Daphnia pulex: one gene and its partners. The protein of the gene in region 3 purifies or fractionates together with the protein of the main gene of each other region. This does not show direct contact. Links are inferred from orthologs where the notes say so. Each region holds a gene or a part of one and is shown on either strand. Other genes may lie near its edges.

Region 1 (6,364 bases), on a different chromosome or scaffold from region 3:
ATCTTCGGCCAAACCTTTCTCCAGGGGTTCCGCAATCATTGTGATTTTATTCTTTTTGTTTGGAGTTTCGGCAAAACATTTCAGTGAGGACGTTTCCACGACCGTTTCGCAAAAAGACACCACAGGATCAGCAACTACAAGAAAAACCAAAGTGAATTAGTTAAATTAGAAGAATTAACAGTTGGGAAGAAATGAATGGCAAACCTTTAATGTCGATTTCCGAGTACATTTTCCTGAGATCGTGCATGACACAGTCCAGGTAAAGTTCGCCTGTTCCAAGAATAACGTGCTCGCCCGACTCCTCCACTCGCGTCGAGAGCAACGGGTAAGATTTGTTAACCTTACGCAGACCGTCCAACATCTTGGGCAATTCGCTGGGATTCACCGGCTCAACGGCAATTTTGATGATGGATTGCGTGTTGAATTTCAAGGGTCGGCAAATGTACAAGTCCTCGTCGACGTGAACCTGGACGATGGTCGACGTCTTGACCACTGAGGCATCGATCCCTTCGATCAAGACCCAACTGCCTGCCGTTACTCTATTGACTTCGATCTTGTAACGGGCCTCGTATATCCAAAGTCGACCGATCGTCAACACACGTGAATCTTCTTCGTCATTGAGCGAATAGTTTTCACCCAGGAGTCGGACGTTCTGGTGAGCGTGAAGGGTCCCACTCAGGACACGACCCAGGACATAGAATCCAGTGCAGTCCTCTGTGGGATACTGTTTGGTAGTATGGACAACCAGTTGGCCGTTGGGATCACAGTTGACCATGTCTTCGCCCAGGATGGACTCCAGGGGACCTGTGTAAATGTGTTCCACTTTGGTGCGAGCAGCCGTTACGGGCGACGGGACGTGTTTGACGCACATTTCCACGAAACCTACACACACCAGTCAAACATTGACATTTAAAGACCGTTGCTTCAATTCAACATACATTTTAATTGACATACCGCTGAAAGTGCCCAGGTAGCGACTGCAGACCAGTCTCAACAAGGGGCGAGTGTTTAACCGCTGTTCCTCGACAGTCAGGCGAATGCCAAGTTCGTCCAGCAACTGCGGTAGACTCGAATCCAAATCTCCCACAACCTAAACAAGCAAAAAATATTGGAAATGAATCAACTGTTCAAATTAACTGCAAAGTTGTCCTTGGTACATGCCTGGGCAAAGATTTTGTACAACGGCTCTAAAATGAACTCGATGAAACTTCGCTGAGCCGAGCTATGTGGCGGCTTTTTGGTGAACTTTCTCGTCTTGCTGTTGAAGTAAATGTCACCCCACAGACGACGTGCTAACTCGTTGTCGTTGATATCGGATCCGTATCTAAAATGAAAGAAAATGAAGTTTCATTTAAGACCGTCATTGCCATTGTGGACGTGTGCGTACGTGTCACTGTAAAGTTTGGCGAAGGATTTAAGGGTGAAGCAAACGGAGAACTGGGCAGAAGCAAAGCAGACGTTGCCCAACAAGGGCGACACGAATTTTGGATTCTCTTCGTCGCTGTACAGGCCCAAAAGACCGTTGATCTCTTCAATGATGTAGCGCAACTTGTAATATGCGTCCTGAGGTGGCAGCTTGAGCTCCAAAATGAGTCGATCGATTTTGTTGATGCAAACTGTGATGGCCATTTTCTCCTATGAAAGGACAGGGTTAAAAAGAAATTCTTGGAATAACCAAGTTGAAGTTTTTTTTTTTTTTTAATTACCTGGACGGCGTGCTTCAAGATTCGTTCCGTGTTGAGCATGACACCCTCGACAGCGTCGACAAAGAGGACGATACCATCGCAAAGTCTCAGGGCAGCCGTGACTTCATCTGAGAAGTTGACGTGACCTTTAAGAAACATCAAAATCGATTAAATACATTTTTCCCCCCCATTTTGCAAGTTGGAAAACTGTAATTTACCAGGTGTGTCGAACATGTTGAGGAGGAAGGATTTTTCGTTCAGGTCGGGCATGACCACGGTAATGGGCGTCGCTTTGATGGAAACACCTCTCTCTTGTTCAGTAAAGAGTGTGTCTGTGTATCTGACAGGCTTCTCCTCTCCACTGCCAGGTTTTCCCGTCTGGAGATCTGGGTGTGTTTGCATGAGCAGACAATCCATGAAGGAAGTCTTGCCATGGTGCAAATGACCAACAAGGGCCACTGAACGAATAAGTTCTGCAGAGTCCATGAGATCAGCCAAAAACTCCATGTTATACGTGGTTTCAGGGAGTTCTTGCTCAGCAACCTAATGAAAATGGGTGGAAACAGGTTAATCAACAAAATGAAATATGGCAGCGAAACAATTTGTGGTACCTGAAACTTCCTTCGTTTGACAGGTGCGATGATGGGTTCAGTCAAGGGCTGAGCATCTTCTTCCTGCACCAGTGTCTCCACACCAGGTCCGTAAACCTCCAACGCTGATGGATAGTATTTTTTGTCTTCATGCAAAACAATGGCCATCTGTGCGTCGCCATCAACCACCGTTTGATCCATGGCCTCTTCGGAATCATTGTCACCATAGTCTTCGGCTTCGTCATCGTGATCAGCCTCGTCTCCTTCCTCATTTTCGTCTTCATCTGACTCGAGTTCGGGTCCAATGTAATTGCCGAATTCGTCGTAGAGATCGGCGTCCATTCTTGACAGTCAACTGAGTCGTTTGCTGTCTGTAAATTGGGCAGATACTTTGGATGTTGTCGATCGGTATTCGGCTTAACCCAACACTCACAGTTATAAAGCTGTTTCAAAAGGGAATTTCAGAAAAGCCGGGCCTTTCAAGAAAATGCGTTTACTATGCGTACAGATTTGCACGCGCTCAAAACGAGCGACACTAGCGACATCTAGCGGGTGCCAATGAAATCTGAATTTAAGAACAGCGCCATCTACCAGCTAGCAGGTGGATTATGAGTGGCAAAAAAAATGAAAATAAAATAAAATGAATAAAATAAATAAAAATAAAAATAAATAAATAAAAATAAAATAAAAGAGAAAAAAAAAATTCACAGCGTAATAAAATGCAAATGGGAATCCCGTTGAGGGCGGGGTTTTCCCTACCCGAATAAGGAAATGTTTCTGGCGCTGTTTTTTTGCTTGTGCACTGGAAACTGAAATCTAGTTGTGAATTTATATAGATGACGTGTCAGTCGCTATCAGGTCGGGTCCACGACGGAAAAAAACATTTTGTAGGAGAAACAAAGTCAGTCGAACACGGGCGATAATATCAATCAAAGCGGGCGAAATAAGGAGTAAAATGCCGTCATGTTTTTGAATTGAATAACGGAATAAATCTCAGCAGTCGTCTGATGTCTACGCACACAGTGCAGAATTTCAGTTTTGCCGGGCGATGGAAGCCCCCTGGATGGGCAAGTGCCCTTATATGATTTATTGCTGCCGACTCGTATGGAAAGATATATTAGACGTCTTTATCTGCAGACGAGTCTACAGACGAGCGACCCCGATTTATATATTCGCTTGTTGGTTTGTTGTTGCCAAAAGGAAATCACAAAAAAAAAACCCAAAAAATACTTGGGATGATATGGGCAGATCGACAAAATCAATGCCGGCCATTCGGTGATGTAGACCAGCCCAGCCCAGCCCAACTAGAGTTCTCCTTCTGTCCATGGGTTCTCGGTTGATGGTTCTTTTTTTTTTTTTTATTCGGGATATAATCACCGTTATCGGCGATGCTTCGAGTTGCTTGTTCTGTTTTTGTTGTTTGCAGCAATGTCATCCATTGTGTAGGCGGATAGAATGTACCCGGTTGAATGTCGCTGCACACATTTAGACTTGGCCAACAGCAGCAATCGACTTCCTCCTCCTTATTCCTCGTGCGTGAATTTTCCGTGGGGGTGTCCAATCAATAGCCCGACAGACTCTGACTGAGATTTTTTTTTTTTTTGGTTTGTTTTGTTTTTCTCTTTTTAAATTTCTATCCATCATCTTTTTTGTGTCTGCGGGGGGGTCACTATACTGTCCGGTGTGCATTGCCACGGCGGTGTAGTCTGTCGGGAGTCAAGGCTTAATGGATCGCAATGATTATTGGACGGCATTCATTACTACACAATACCCTTCGACATGGATGAAGCGATTGTAGTTCACTGGACTCCTGGACACATTAGACTTACGAAATGATTGATTGTTAATCAAGTCTCGTGGTGATGACGGAATGTTATTAGACCTCGACATTGGTCGAGCCAACAATCTCCACCCCAATTATAAAATTCGGCAACTCAGACATCGGTCGGGATTCATTTTGGCTAGACGCGAAAAAAAGACAAAAAGAAAACGTTTAGACATTGGCCGATTGGTGATGGAACAAACAACAACAACAACAGCGTCAAGACACAATAAAAAAAAAACGTCGAAGAATAAGGATAGTCGAAAAGATCCAAGATTGAGATTATTTCGGAATCAAAAGAAGAAAGAATAAAAAGAGAAAAAGAAACTAGCTGACTGGGCTGGGCTCCTGGGCTGGGCGAGGTTGTTTTTTTCTTCTTTCCTTCCTTCTCTCTTGTATAGTAGTATCACCATGTATATTTTCCTTTTGGCTTTTCTATTTTCCTTATAGGCGACGGCCACAATATATCGCCGCAGAATAGTCTAGCTGGTGTGTGTAGTAGATACACAGACAGAGATATAAACATGCATGTAGTCTCTCTCTCTCTTTCCCCCCCCCTCTCCGTCTCTTCTATTTTTCTTAAAGAATTCGTGTGTTGTTGTTGTAGTTGTTTGTAACGGGGTTGCCTGCGCACGAGTCTATGCTGCTGCTGGAAAGGAAACCGAAAAGAAGGAGGAAGAAGAAGGAGGAGAGAGGAGGGAGAGAGAGAGTCTACCAGCCAGGAGCCAGGAGCTACACGCAGCAGCAGCAGCAGTGGTGGTGGTGGCCTTCGCCAGAGAGACAGTCGACTGTCTCGACTCGACTTGCCGAGTTATTAGCCGACAGCAGCAGCAGCAGTCGACTACCCGCCGTCCATCCGTCCGTCCGCACACCAGCACAGCAGCACATCGTCAGCAGCAGCAGAAGCGGAAAATGGAGTGCAATAAGTGAAGATCGTGACAAGTGTTGACGATCGGCCGACAGTGTTTGAAAAGACGTTTTCTTTTATAGGATTTGGAGTGGTCGGTTCGGATGTCGGTTCTTCGCTTCTCATCGATCCATCAGCAACATCGTCGACCGCTTTTGCCCGTCGTCTCGGAAGAAGATAGAGCAGCAGAAGCAGACGACGGCCACAGTTCAGAGAAGAAGCCGGCCGGCCGGCTCGTCACATTTCACATCCCTGCAGCTGCTGCCGGCTGCTTTCGGAAATGACCATCATGTTTGTGGTAGTGCAGTGGTTCAGTGGCTGCTGCTGTGGCTGGCCGTCGTTGTCGTCAGCCTACAGCAGCAGCAGCAGCAGGAGGACAAGGGCCAGCAGCAACAGTTTGATCATCCTGGCCGCTCTTCTCATGATCCTGTGCAGTTCCCAGTTGATTGCCGTGTCCGAGGTGCGTTTCAGTGACCCCGCCAACGTCCATCTCCAGGTCCAACATCTACAGGTCCAGCAGCCGCAACACTTTGTCGCCAGCAACTCGTCGTCGGCGTCCATCGGCGACGTGGCCGCCACCCGTCCGCACCGGAGGAGTCGCCGGCATTGCCCGTCGTGTCGTCTGCCGTTGACGCCCATCCACGTCCATCGGCAGACGGAAGGCGAAGAAGAGGAAGGAGAGGAGGAGGACGGACAAAAGTCGTCGCTGGACGTGGTTGTGGCTCAGCAACAACATCAAACGACGATCGGCGAATCGGCCCGTCTCGAGTCCATCAAACGTCAAATCCTCATCAAACTGGGACTCAACGCCAAACCGAATTTGCTCTCGTCCGTTATTCCGCCCAGGGATTTCATCCTGGAAACGTTGCTGAGGGCGGAAGAGTCTTCTTCCTCGTCCCGTCCCCATCAGTCCCAGTCCCAGTCGCCTCAGGGTAAACAGGCCCAGCCGCATCATCCGCATCACTCGCAGGCCGACGGGAGCGTGGACAACGTCATCGTGGACGACGATTTCTACGGCAAGACATCGGAGATTATCGCATTCGGCGAGCCAGGTAATCTATAACTCAATTAGGATCCATAACGGGTCCCGGCTGTCCAGGTCCCGGTCCCGGTAAAGTGGGACAGGGAAGGAGAAGAGAGTGGTGACGCGGTCGGTCTTAATGATGAAGGACACAACGACCGCGGGAGCTTGTCGTCCATGCACTGCATGTGTCTGGCAGGGCAGGGCTGGGCTGGGCAGCCGCTAGTTGCAACGGTTAGAGCGAACGTTCGGACCAAGGGCGAACGAAAGACTATATAGACGATGGCGGGGCTGCCAGCCAGCCAACTCGTTCTCTGTCGGGCCGGCTGCCAATAAAAA
Region 2 (5,237 bases), on a different chromosome or scaffold from region 3:
GAATAATTACCACCGAGGGAGATGTAGCGGAGAAAGTCTGTCGTGCTATGCGTGAGACGCTAAACTCGAGACTGAATCAATATTGAGACTTTCCGAGAGGCTTGAGAACGTTGAACTTTGATACAACCCAAGCTACAGCGCCACCATGACCACAAAAGGCGTTCTTGAGTAGCACTACTGTTATCGATCTTGTCTTTTCTAGTGGAAGGTTCACATAATGTTAACGTCAACCGAAGCTTTACCTCAGAAAAAATGCTAAACATTCTGCACGCTTTGTCGAAACACGTCACATTTTTTTCATTTCAAGTTACCTTAAGAAGTTCTTTTTTTAAAGAAAACCAATGCTTTCTTTACTGTGGCAGCGATATTTTTAAGTTAAAGATTATTAAACTTGTTTTTTTTGTCACACATACAGTTTTTTTTTGCTTCCCGCTTAAAATCTACACATAATATTGGAGCGGGCGCATTCTTTTTTTTTAACTAACCGAGAATACTCGCGTTCATGGCAATCGAACAGTGAGGTGACACCAAAAATTGTTTTACATTAATTATCTCCTATGCTTTGAAGTTTTATTATTTAAAATTTCAAAGAAAGCAATAGTAAGTAAAGCGTGAATAAGGGAAATATGTGCGGTTAATGTTCAGGATCGGCATCTTCAAACTGACCCATGTCTGACTCCATGTTCTCCGCCTCACCATTATCATGATCTTACGAACAATTGAGGTGCACATTGAGAAAAACAATAAATATTTGTCGGATATCAATTAAATGAAATTATATCAGATTTACCATTTTCAGCTGTTTCTGCTCCATCAAGGCAATATTCTCCTTCCTCAGTATCTTCAAAATCTCCTTCTAAATAAAAAAAAAAGTTAATACAATAATCTGCAAAACTTTTGCCTTTTGTCAAATATTACCATCTGAAATTGAATCATTAGGATCAGGATGGAGTGTTTGACATATTGTCATGGCATGGTACATGGCATCAAGAAGTCCCCGATCTTCTGGAATAAACCTTACTTCAGACATATCAGTTTCAGATTCCTCATCCTCAGAATCTTGATTATCTAAAGCTTCATCTTAAAAATATAACTTTAATCAGACAAACCTGGAAACATGAACACATCTCACATAACATTTTCTCAAATGATATTTTAAACATAAATATAGAATTGGGTATTACCGGGTTCATCAAGCCTTGAATCCAACATCAAGTACAAGCATTCCTGTGGAAATGCAGAAGGATCTTTTGAAACAGCATGTAACGATATGTGGGGGTATTCCAGCGAAAATCCCTGGCCAGATGTGGCACTAACCCATGATACACGACTAAATGGTTTGGAATAGGTAAAATTATTTTTCCGTGACTCTTGTAATCGAAAACTTAAATAGAATATAAATATAAATTAACCTTTCTGCAATATATAATGTTCCTTGGCCCAAGTCTCTGGTGTTGATGAAAGCTCCAGTATTAGGCTGAACTAATTTGATTCCTTCGGTAGGCGGAGGAAATGAAGATAATACAACCATTTTTTAAGAAATTTAACGAATTCAGAAAAGAAGAAGAGCAACAATTTGAAAATGAAATATGATTCGAATCACGCTGTCAGCAGCACAACGTTTTAAAAAAAAATTGTAGGCTGCAATGAAAACGTCATCTAGGGACTAAATCATGAACCACGAACACATCACCTGACTTTAGCTGTCACGAGACTCGAGACTGTCAAACTTTTTCTAAAGGCAATTGCAGCTGCTGTTGACCAGACAAGAAGGCAAGATGAAAGTGGCATCAATTGTCGGCGTATTTTGTCTATTAACCTCAGGTAATTATTTTCTAGCGATTGAAAACTACAGCTTTTGAAGTGTTTTGTTGCAATGCAGTCCTGGGAAATGGAGAGTTCAGCATCTTGCACAGCCCTAATGGAGTCAACTTTAGGGGAGATGAACAGCTGAATACAAGTGAATTGCCAAAAATTATTTCCACTGCAATGGGGCACACAACACCTTTTGTAAGTTCTTTCATTCATTTATAACTTTGTAGATTAGGAACTATATGTTTGGTTCCAAACGAAGGAGTGATATTGCAACTTGATGTATCTATGATGAAATCAGTTTGAAGCAATACCATTATTTGCTGTTTTCAGGGTGACTCGTGGAATGGACTTACAGTCTTGAATCCATTTAATTACCCAGAAGTTTCAGTTGCTGTTGTTGTTGAGGGTGTGCAAAGTCTCCAGTTGAGTGAACCCAGATACCCACTAGAGATCACCTCTACTCTTGATCAAGTGAAGGATGATTTCACTTCTATTCTAGGCCAAGTTGTATTTGACGAAAATGACTTATATTCTGGTGAAACCCAGAAGATTTTGGCACTTCAAAAGCTCAACAAAAAGGATGTTGCTGTCTTGCAGTTTCTTAAAGATATTGATGTTTTGATGGATTTAAAACATAAGGTATTTTCATTAGTTAAAAAATAGTGAGAGGTTTTTACACACAATACATTATTTTCAAAAGGTATTGGCAAAATCCGTCTTCAAGACTGTTTGGATCCGCCTTAATGGTTTGGATGATATCATCAGTGTCTATGGTCAAGACTCTGAGCAAGCTTTGGAAGCAGTTACTATTTTGAAATCTGCTCTCGGCGAGCTTCAAGATGCACTAGAAAACACTTATGGCGATCGAGTATGACACAGTTATATTTGAATTCGAAAAATTTGTGTGTAACAATTTTTGTCTTTTTATAGTTTATCCTAACTGCCATAACCATTGAAAGACTTCGCCTTCGAGAAAAGAGGTCTACGACTTCGAATGCCAAAGCAAATAGCGTATGATTTTTTAAAATTTTATTTTCAAATAATAGTCGAGGGTTAAAATAACTTTATCCTCCTTCTTTCAGGAACTGTATTGGAAGTTGAATTTATCTAAACGCTATGGATCGGATTACTCATCCATTTTTAATATCCTTTTATGGACATCCGTTTTCTTGATTGCTGCTCTTATTTCCACCGCTGGTAATTGATTAATCTGAGTTCGATTTTTGCAATCTGCCATAACATTATCCCTTTAATTTTTCAGTGTTTATTTGCACACTCGATCCTGGTCGTGACTCCATCATCTATCGGATGACGACACAGCGCATCAAAAAGGAAAATTAGAGAAGTCACATTCCGATTTATTTGTTGGCTTGAGCCTCACTGATAATAATTTAGCGTGTAAAAAAATGTTACTTTGTTTGGTGTACATTTTCTAGCTTTTCTTTGTTCATGTCGTAGCCATAACTGTTCGTTCTGTGTGTGATTACACATTTAAACGAAGTTTTGTTTTCCCGTCGAGTTGAGTGCTTTTTCGATGATCCGAGTCATCGTCCAAGTAAGGAAATATTAACATTCTCCTCTGCTGTGTAACTGATTGTGTTATGGGCACGCGACATCCGAATCGCTCTCCTCTCACTTTCACCACGGCGTTTTGGAGAAAGGATTCTTACTATCTCTAAACGAGTTTCCATCGAGAGCTTATTTTGGTCTGTAGCGTGTTATTAAAAAAAACAACGTGTTTTGTATTCGTCGGATGCTTTCTGCAATCCCTTGGGCTATGTCCTACTTTTGCGCAGTAGTATCAGACTTTTATCATGAGCATCTACCATGGACAATCGATAGAAACGACTGGTCTTTCTCCACATTGATAATAACTCAAGTACCTTGGGTAAATAACAAAAACATGAACAATCGGCCTCGGGTATCATTAATCACTGTTATCGGTCACAGAAATACAGAGAAACGAAACGCTATCCCCCCCCCCCCCATGGAATCTCTAGTTGGTAAGAATGGAAAATGTTGTTTTAATATTCGGAATATTTAATCACGGAAGACTGGCTCTTTTTTAATTAACCATTATTACGCTCAAGTTGCGAGTTGACTTGATAGTTTTCATGACTTTTCCATGTCTAAGGGCCCGCGTAGACAAAGAAGATACTTTCTATTTAACATCCAGTTTTTTTTTTTCACTTGAACATTTGCCAAGGTTTATAATTCCTATTTTCTGCGCTGTAAATCACGAACCAGTGTTTTTTCTGGGCTAAAAGTCTCACTACGCTCTAAAAGTCAGTGGCCTTTTTTCCTGTTTGGAGAATTATATAAATTTGCACGAATTTAACGAAGAAGAACGCGATTATGTCGACCGATTCAACTTTTTATGGGTTAACTAACGCAAAGTGAGGTGAAGCTGAAAAAGAATCGGACGACAAATTTGGGCTTTCATCGTGAAACTAATACTTTGGGCGAAGGTTATTTTCATAAATAAGAAAAGTAATGAGGGAAAGAGCATGGGAAAGCCAGAGTGTCATGACTGTCATCGGCCCGCGAAACAATATTTTGCGGTTCTTTGGAACCAGAACGACGCCGAGAAAAACATATTCTCGGGAAGTTTATGACATCAACCCTCTGGGACTTCTATAGAAAAGTCACTTGTGGCGCAAATTGCTACAATCACAGTGTGAGAGACTTAAAACGGAGGTAAAACGGGAAGGCTATAGGTGGTTTTTTGTAGCACCTGCGTGTGTGGATTATCCTGAATTAGGAAAATTTAATTCGGAACAATTTGCTATTACCGGGGGAAAACCTTAACGGATCGCCATCAAACCTATAGGCCAAACTAGAGCTTTTCTGGAGGCTTAAGTAATTATTCTTTGAACAAAGCTTTAAACAAATTTCTTAAAAATAAAATAAATGTTTAGGAAAGAACCTTGAAAATTCTAAGTAGAAAAAAAGATAAAAAGGAAACTGAGCGCGCGACGAAGTGTTCTTACTCATCCCCGCTTTGAGGTATGAACTCAAAAAACAAACAATTTACCAATAATTTCCCGAAATGATGTAATATCAATTTGTCAAGCTTTGAATAAAGCTCGAGCGTAGCCCAGACTTTAGTATGGATTTTCCGTATGCGCGTGCTTATTTCTACTTCTTTCGTCCCAGTTTTTGGATTCGGCTGATTGCATCGGGAGTCGGTCATGAATGATATTAGGGGTAAGTCAATCTACTTACCATCATCGTGAAAGATAATAATAATAACACAGTGGAGCTCGGGAAGCTCGTAAGTGATGATCTGTTTAGCCACATCTAGTCCATAAAGAAAAGACTGGGGGCGAAGGTGTTATCCCCATTCGAAATCAAATCGGGATATAAAGAATCGAAAGCTGTCGTATCGGAAAAATGACATACTCTTTCGTCATCGCGCACAA
Region 3 (8,151 bases):
GACCTTATTGAAAGACTTTAATTTTCACACTTCAACTTTTACTTAACTCTTCTCTGGAATTCTACAATTCTTACCTTACTAACTGTGTGAAATTTTTTTCTTCTCTCTAAGGACAATTCACACGCGGTGCTTTGCATTGCTGTTTCACTAGCACGAATTCTTGATGTGTACGCCTCTTAACGCTCTTAACCGACACCACCGACACTCGCAAGTCGCAACGTGTTCGGTCGCCATATTTTTTTCATTTTTCTTTTCGGCAACGAAGGTCCTAATCAGACAACAACATTGGACGACTGTCGCCAGATGGCCCACAGCTCGACGATTTCGCCATCTAGGCAGAGTCATCCGATCTAGGTGGTTAATTTGAGTACAAGTTTTACTATAAACCGTTAACGGACATAACGGTTTAACGGACTCGTTCATTTGCCTCTTTACTATTACAGTATAACCTTGAAATTTTCTGTGAAATGTGGCACATGGAACTCATGGGATAATGGTTAGTCGCTTAATATGATAATATGAAATTCAATTCAATGCTGTTGACGTGCGTCGTGCGTGTTGGTTTTATTGCACCATTTATTGCAGTACTACTGGCTATTACTAAATTTATAGTTTGTTAGTTGTTATTTTAAAGTATGTTAGATTGATTGATTTGCACAAATTTAAAATTTAAGAAGTAAAAAAAAATTAAAAAAAAATTACCATAATAAAACTTCAATGGGGCAACCGGCAACGTTGTTTGTTTTGATTTACAGACTCTGAACTTCGAGAAAGGTTGCCGTTGCCCGTTGTGTGACTTCTTAGTTCTTACTTGGTTTAATATACTGTGTTGTTATCTTTCCATGAAACATTCGATTGTTATCAATCCTTAACGGGAAAGTCATATATTTTTTAATGTAGTGAATGATCGAAATGGCTTCAAACGTCGATACATCATTTTGCAATCGAGCACCAGTTTGTTTAGGTAGAACTGCCACTGTCAGTAACAGCCCAGAAAATTGTGAAATTGTTGAGGTATCGGAGGTAGTATTCTTTTACAGTAATATTTTCTACCACCAATTTCTGGAAATTTGAACTTCTCTTCATGTTTTCATGAGATTCGTGATTTATTGGAATACAACCCACCACAACCTTTTAGTACATCTGCAGTTTTGAACTACTGCCAGCGCAAGATGATTCTACCATACACTAGGCTTTTGGGACTACTTGGTCTAAGACCTCTGTTAGGAGACTTCAATGACCAAACGCTTGCTCTGAGTGCAATTAACAAAATCCATCTATTCTTGGTGACATGCTTCCTCATCTTTGGTTATGTAATGCAACTCTTAACATGCTACAGGTGTCATATTGCTACTACTATTTATTCTTTCTATTCCCAAGGTTAATCTGAAATTAAATATTAATTTTTGTTTAGAAGGGACAAAGGTTTTTCATACATTAAAATTCCTGGTGTTGATCATGTTAGTCAAAATGTCAGACATTTGACCAAGTCACTTGACACACCTGAAGTTGTGTGTGATGGAAGTCTTTTCCTTTGCTACATTTTACCTCCATTGTTACATCTCGGCGCATTTATCCAAACAATTTATTTATTGCGAATAACAGATAATGAACATCTACAAACACTCTTTGAGAAGGTTAGTGAGGTGGACTTGGTAATTTGAGTACTGCATTTCTTATTTTAACTTTAGGTTTCCTGTGAGTTTGCAGGTCTTTTTACTGACTTCGAGATCAAGAGGAGCAACGACACAACGAGTTCTTCTTCGAAGACTTCGTACACATGTTATACTCTCAGTGGTTTGGTTACTTTGGTCACTCATCGCTCAAATTTTTCTTGTCTGCACCAGTCCAATAAAGACAGTTTGGTTCCTTCCTCAAATGCAAGTTATTTTCTATTGTCGATTAGTCGGTCAATATTTAAACTTTTTTTTTGTTTACTTTCTATTATTACAGGAGTAACCCCGTCCGCAATTCATTGATGGGGGTAATGATTGCCTCCACTTTATGCCAAGACGTTGTTCACTGCTTAGTTGTTAGCAACTATTGCATAGAATGCCAATTATTGATGTCGTACGTTAGTTCTATTAGCGAACGCGTAGTTGAGAAATCCATGTCGTTGGAAATCGCCATGAAAGTAAGAAACAGCTCATTAGTTTCCCATGTAGAAAATTGCGCTAATAGATAACAAACAATAGAATTGAATTTTATCGATTCAACAGGAAATGTTGGAATTTGAAAAGTTCCTGCTGTACTTGAACGAAAATGTTTCTCCAGCCATCGGTTTACTCCTGCTACTCTCCACGACCCGTACAATTGTGACGACAATGACCGTCATTCATCCTGGATTTCTGTACTATACAATCGATGCGCACTCTTTTATTGTGATAATGTTGTTGGTTCAGTGGGCTACTGTTTCCATAGCTCCACTGGTTTCTGTAAGATCTCTTAACATCCAAAAGAACAACAGGAAAAGTAATTCGAATTTGTTTCCTTACCACAGGCTGCGTATGTTACTGCTGCAAGTCGAAACGTGCGCTCTGTAGGAATGAGGATACGTGTTCGTCCGTTCGGCTTTCAAGATGTTCCGGCTCAAAAATTGGATTCGTTCATGACATTCATTGCATGTCACAAAGGAACGGCTAAATTGTGCTTCGTTCCAATTAGTGCTGCATCACTCGGAGCAGTTGTTGCTATTGCTGCTTTAATTTTTCTTATCAGTGCTAACGTATCGTAATGTTATTATGGAATCATGTACGGGTTGAATGCCAAAGTCAACGTTTATCTCTCATATCTGTTGTGATCTATAACTCTTTCTCAGGTAATCTCAGAGTTTCTATCATATGTTTAATCTCGGTCGGGGAATTCAATACACATTTAAGATTCGTGATTTTATAAGGAATTAAAAAATAAAACCTTCTGGTTTGGTAAATTTCCCATATTATTTGAGTCGAAAAAATACATCAGCAAACACTTATCAAAAAAGGTAATTACTTTTTGGTGTTGGCGAGTTTTTCCTTTCTTTTCTTGACGTGTTTCTTTACTTTCTGCTTCCGTTTTTCTGATTGCTCAGCCTTGATGGCCTTTTTCCTCTCCTATTCCAAACGAATTTCAAGGTAAAGTTAGACGTTAAAAAACCTAGCAGCAAAATTTACCTTTCGACTGTTGGGGGATTCGTCGCGAGGTCGTGCACTGCTCACAAATTGTTTCTTTTCACCATCTTCTGAATCAGACTCACCAGATGCCTCATCGCTGCTAGTTCCGTCCACAATAGAATTATCCAAAATGTCTGGAACTTGCTTTGGGCCTGACAAGTCTGGTTTAATTCCAGTTACATTCGCGTAGTTCAATTCAATTTTCTCTCCCGCTTTAATTTGTCTAATGTCTCGTTCAAAGAACATGACCTGACGGAATATTGAGGTTAGTGAAAAAGAAAGAAAATGAACCAGGGCGCGCACTCACTTCATCTAATCTTTGAGGAATATATGTCTGTTTAAAGACTTCTGCTTTCACCAAATCTTCCGCTGTAGACTCTCCTTGAATATTTCTTTCGGAAGAAACTGTTGCCATTCTATCCAAGTAGTCCTGGAATTCAAAATGTGTCACTAAAAATACAAGTGTGTTTTCCAAATTGTAAATACCTCAATATTGGTTTCATTGATAGTCAAATCAACAACAAAATCAAAAAGTTCTTTAACTGTCATGACGCAAACTCCGTTTCTTTTGAAGAAGTCGGTAATATTAGTGCAATCCTTACGAAGAAATTCAAGAGCATGCGGATGGTCATGTTCTACTGATTGAGACACATCGATTACGATCAATGATCCTTCATGATACCTAGGATTGGTAATTAAGATAATAAATAGCGTGGGTCTATAATAATCACACAAGTTTAAAATTTACAGCATGTTGAATTCGCTGAGATCAGCGTGAACGAGTCTGCAGTCGTGAAACATTCGCCGCATCAAAATGATTGTGTCTCGATATAACTCACGGGCTTTCGATTCACTCAGCTCAACTTCCTTGTAGTATAAAAGCATCAAATTAAATCTCGACACCCGTGTAATCTATCGGATATTTTCAGTATACCTTTAGTCGGGGGGCAGGCCAACCAGCATCACCAATGAAAGTCATCAACAACACATGACTTCTCAGCAAAATTGGTTTGGGACATGGTAAACCAGCTGCTTCAAGTCTCAATAAATTTCTCAATTCTTTTTCAGCCCAAGTTCGAACCATTTTACGGGGATTGTGCTTACAATAACCATGTCGAAATCTGCAATAAAAAAAACTAGTGAGCCACAAACATAAACAAAATAAGATTGTAAGGTGTCAAGGTTACCTGAACTCGCCTGTGACGTATTTGTCTCTGTCTTTGAATACAAGAATGGATGTTTTATAAATTTTGAGGGCCAAATGTGTGTCATCTTTTCCTGTTGCATGATATACATTGGCTTCTTTTCCAGTGGAGATACAACCATTGATTTGAGTGATAAATCCTCTGTTCATTAATTTAAACAGAATCATTCTTGTCCGGGGATCCATAACTTGCTCAGCAGTAGCTCTGTCTGCCTTGTCTCTGAGACGCACCTTGTCATCACCTGGCAACGAAGGCATTTTGAACTCGTCCACATTAATCTTTTGGGAATATTTCTTGAATAGCTTTTCTCTTGGCTGGAAAGAAACCACTTTATTGGAACTAGTCTGTTGGTTGGGTTGGGCTCCCTGTACTTTTATTTGAGGCCCCTGATCTGCAGTAAATGTTGTCAGTTAACGAATTGAAAGTAAGCTTTGAACATTATGTTGTTACCATATTGCCAATCGTAACAATCGTCATCGCTCATTTCAGAATCGTCTGAATAATAGACTTCGTTATTTTCATCGACGGGCGGCACTTCGTCATTGGTCTCAAGATTAAGTTGTCGAATACCTTCAGCAACGTTCGAGTCTCTGATAAAAGCACTAAATTACATTAAAATAACTTGATAATATGAAAAATTGCATTACTTTTCATCTTCAACGTCGCTAAATTGTCCTTCAACAGGAGAAGAATCAGAAAAATCCACGTGGACTGCCATGGTTAAATAAAATTTGTTTTCTCATGTGTCATAAAAATTCGTCTGCCACATCGTGTGCAACATTGCCAACAATTGCATATATACTTCTTTTCGCAACGGCAAAATTAGAAAAAGAAGAGAAAATCTGCAAATGCTTGCTGCTTAATTTGTATCAGGTTGTTAACTGTAATTTAAAATTTGTTTTTTCTTTAATATAATACACCTGGATTTAAAAAAAAAACAAAACAAATCTTTTTTCATTTGTTCGACGCCTTAAAAAAAGGAGAAAATTAATTAGTAATTCTTTTAGTACAATGGATGTATGATTGTATATCATTTGTAGAATTAGACAGGAAGGATTACGTTTCCACGTAACTCTTTGAATAAAAAGTCTACAGGCGCCTACACTTGATTGATATTCTTTCCGTGACCGACTAAACGCACTCCTTGAGTGATATGATTTAAAAGTAGGTGAAAGCAAAGCGAAAATGAACGATGTAGCATGCCTGCTGGTTAATATTCGGTAGACACGACATTTAAAATAAATAAGAAATAGTGTTGACGTGTTGTACCCTTTACGAATTGTTGGCTAGCTATAAATAAACTGAAGGTTGACCACCGCTGCGCTTGAATGATTACCTAGCTGCCTGCCTGCCTATTTTTAAAAACAATGGCGAACGTATAGACCCCGGAAACCTATTGTGTTACATATACACTTGCACTATAGAATAAAAGAAAGAAAAGAAAAATCAATTTTACGACCCCCTACGTGTAGTGTAAGAGCGCAACTAAAAGAATATGGCGCGTGTGAATCTGAATTGTGCACCCAATATCCGTGTGTGTGTTGTGCGTTTGATGGTGGAAATATCGCGCTGGGTAATACGCATTCGTCAACAACAGCTGAGGTCGCTGGTCGCTCAGTTACGCAAAGAGAGCGTCGCCTTTCCATCAAAACTAAGAGAGAGAACAGGTAGGGAGTTACCTTGGTGACGGCGTGGGAGTCGTACGTGTTTTATCGATTGCCACTCTTTCAACCCTCATCTGGCGTGGATTTCCGGCATACATGACAGTTCGGTTCGGTCCGTCGTGCTGTAGTTATTGCACAGCCATTTCTCTCCCTTGGTGTGACAACTCTCCATCAGACATCCACCAGGTATGGAAAAACCTTCGCTGATGGAACTCAAGCGTCAACAATGGGCCCGCGAAAGAGGTAAGTCATCCATCACATTTTAAATTTGGTTTAAATTAGTTGGTCAATTGGGCAAACGAAGAGAGTATATACAATCAAATCATCGCGTCTATTATATAACAGAGGAGGCCAAAATCGACTGGTGTCCATGGGGACGTCCGGGTTGCGGCGCACCGTTGAAATGGAACCGGAGCTCGGCCCGAAGCGATTCACGCTTGACTCCTGTCGACAATAAAAAGTAAGCCCACAGCACCACAAGCCCAATGATCCGCGAATTATGTCGAAAAAATCAAATATGTGGACGGATGACGGTCATCTAGCCGTCATTTTCGTTTCCGTTATTGTTTTAGCGCTGCGTAAATAACATGGCGATATTGTTTCCTGGATATATCAGAAACGACAACTACCTGCCTCCACTCAACTGGACGACTGGATCACATCAACACGAACAAGTTCAGCAAGCGCCGCCCGCCACCGCACCGCCTCCGCCGCCGCCTCCGCCTCGGCGATCAAAGCGTCACGCCATCAGCCACACGGTGACGGACGGTGAAACTTCCGGCTATCAGAGTGACAATCACTTCATCGATCCATCGGCTCCTAATTACCATCTGCGCCACCGCCGTCAATTGTCGTCGTCCAGGGGACCCAGCGTCGAGCCCATGCCGGACACCTCAAATTCTTCCAACGTCATCATCCACCATCACCACTCGACTAATCAAGAGCAAATCAATTCCAACCGTCACGACGAGGCCAATGAAATTTCGGCCAGGGCCGATTATAAGTTTCTCGAGCGCAAAAAGTGGGTCCAAGATGGAACTGTCCCCTACGACCTTTACCCAGAGGTAATGGGCTCTTTTTTATTACGTATACAAATTATCGATTAAATAAAGCATGGCTGCCTTCATGTGTTTGATTGGGGCAAGATCAAATGATTGAATTGATTATTGGTTGGCATCTCTAGTGTCTTCCACAGCTTTACGATAGGTCGACTCCACCTCGATGGGTGGCCCGTCCGACCAACGCTTTTGTTCAGACCGAGCCTCTTATGTCAGGTGGGTACTATTAGATCACGTCTACACACATTCCTTTTGTTTGCCAATGGGCCACTGATTAGCATCTTTCGTGTCGTCTGCCGGCGATCCATCAGCAGACCGGACCTTGGGCGACAGTTCCAGTATCAGCCGTCATCAGGCTGTCGTCCAGCACTGCGCAACCAATGCGGCGTGAGTGTGATTGTGTCCATAGAGAATAAGCGGAAAAGTTGAGATCCCAATTGATTTATCGCCCATATTTTGGTTGTAATGCAGTCCCAGCTTTCTGCGTGGCCAGAATGTCGTGGTGGATGTCGCCGAGTTGGCCGAGAGGGAAAGGAAACGGGCCAAAGCCAATGAACTGCAGCGGGTGCTCCTTCAGCAGGTAAAAATGACACATTGATTTCTATATAACAGTCTCTAGCTCTCCATAAAAGGCGCATAAAGGCCAACAGCATATGCGATGCAGACGAGAAACCGTTTACTAACGTGAATTATAATATTCCCGACTGGGTTGGATCGATATAATAATAGAAAAAGATAAAACAATAGAAACATTCCAAAAAAATATGCCTGCTGTCGTTGCCATCACGCGGCTGGAATTGTGTAGCCTAATATATAGATTTGGATGGCAAAAGTAGACAGCCGGAAAATACAAAATAAGAAATGAAGACGAAAAAAAGAAGACATAATAATGGTTCTAATATTTCAATAGCGAATGTTGAAGTCAAGTTGCCAGGGTAACGGGCGTCGTGACTTTTGGCGCCGTATGCCGAATATGCGACAGCACGTCCTGTCACCAACTTAAATAGACGTATAGTATAGTGCAGTATAAGGCCTCATGCAGCTGGCAGAACAGCCCAACTTAAACGACGGA

Evidence for each region. The genes of interacting proteins can lie anywhere in the genome.
Region 1: the proteins of serine/threonine-protein kinase RIO1-like (region 3) and 116 kDa U5 small nuclear ribonucleoprotein component-like purify together in Homo sapiens (affinity purification with mass spectrometry; 3 studies listed by BioGRID). This does not show direct contact. The link is inferred for Daphnia pulex from reciprocal best matches to the Homo sapiens genes RIOK1 and EFTUD2.
Region 2: the proteins of serine/threonine-protein kinase RIO1-like (region 3) and methylosome subunit pICln-like purify together in Homo sapiens (affinity purification with mass spectrometry; 3 studies listed by BioGRID and IntAct, with this or other methods). This does not show direct contact. The link is inferred for Daphnia pulex from reciprocal best matches to the Homo sapiens genes RIOK1 and CLNS1A.

The regions. Positions count from the first base shown.
Region 1 is NC_060028.1:8,365,454-8,371,817, reverse strand, and holds the start of 116 kDa U5 small nuclear ribonucleoprotein component-like, read right to left. Parts: upstream 2,838-6,364; 5' UTR 2,618-2,837; coding exon 2,297-2,617; intron 2,229-2,296; coding exon 1,904-2,228; intron 1,832-1,903; coding exon 1,707-1,831; intron 1,636-1,706; coding exon 1,388-1,635; intron 1,325-1,387; coding exon 1,162-1,324; intron 1,091-1,161; coding exon 955-1,090; intron 883-954; coding exon 205-882; intron 135-204; coding exon 1-134. Other genes in the region: inhibin beta chain-like, read left to right, coding at 5,285-6,056. UniProt on the Homo sapiens protein: Required for pre-mRNA splicing as component of the spliceosome, including pre-catalytic, catalytic and post-catalytic spliceosomal complexes. Component of the U5 snRNP and the U4/U6-U5 tri-snRNP complex, a building block of the spliceosome.
Region 2 is NC_060018.1:1,923,004-1,928,240, reverse strand, and holds methylosome subunit pICln-like, read right to left. Parts: upstream 1,719-5,237; 5' UTR 1,532-1,718; coding exon 1,413-1,531; intron 1,331-1,412; coding exon 1,185-1,330; intron 1,081-1,184; coding exon 919-1,080; intron 857-918; coding exon 791-856; intron 709-790; coding exon 635-708; 3' UTR 538-634; downstream 1-537. Other genes in the region: renin receptor-like, read left to right, coding at 1,779-1,824, 1,883-2,010, 2,146-2,454, 2,516-2,683, 2,746-2,826, 2,898-3,012, 3,077-3,156. UniProt on the Homo sapiens protein: Involved in both the assembly of spliceosomal snRNPs and the methylation of Sm proteins.
Region 3 is NC_060022.1:119,498-127,648, forward strand, and holds serine/threonine-protein kinase RIO1-like, read right to left. Parts: upstream 5,136-8,151; 5' UTR 5,076-5,135; coding exon 5,005-5,075; intron 4,948-5,004; coding exon 4,808-4,947; intron 4,749-4,807; coding exon 4,340-4,748; intron 4,274-4,339; coding exon 4,087-4,273; intron 4,020-4,086; coding exon 3,901-4,019; intron 3,835-3,900; coding exon 3,639-3,834; intron 3,583-3,638; coding exon 3,460-3,582; intron 3,402-3,459; coding exon 3,153-3,401; intron 3,093-3,152; coding exon 2,988-3,092; 3' UTR 2,921-2,987; downstream 1-2,920. Other genes in the region: uncharacterized protein LOC124195509, read left to right, coding at 904-1,023, 1,098-1,339, 1,415-1,637, 1,711-1,880, 1,954-2,134, 2,220-2,435, 2,501-2,734; coiled-coil domain-containing protein 66-like, read left to right, coding at 6,210-6,264, 6,367-6,481, 6,638-7,085, 7,205-7,295, 7,394-7,466, 7,551-7,659. UniProt on the Homo sapiens protein: Involved in the final steps of cytoplasmic maturation of the 40S ribosomal subunit. Involved in processing of 18S-E pre-rRNA to the mature 18S rRNA. Required for the recycling of NOB1 and PNO1 from the late 40S precursor.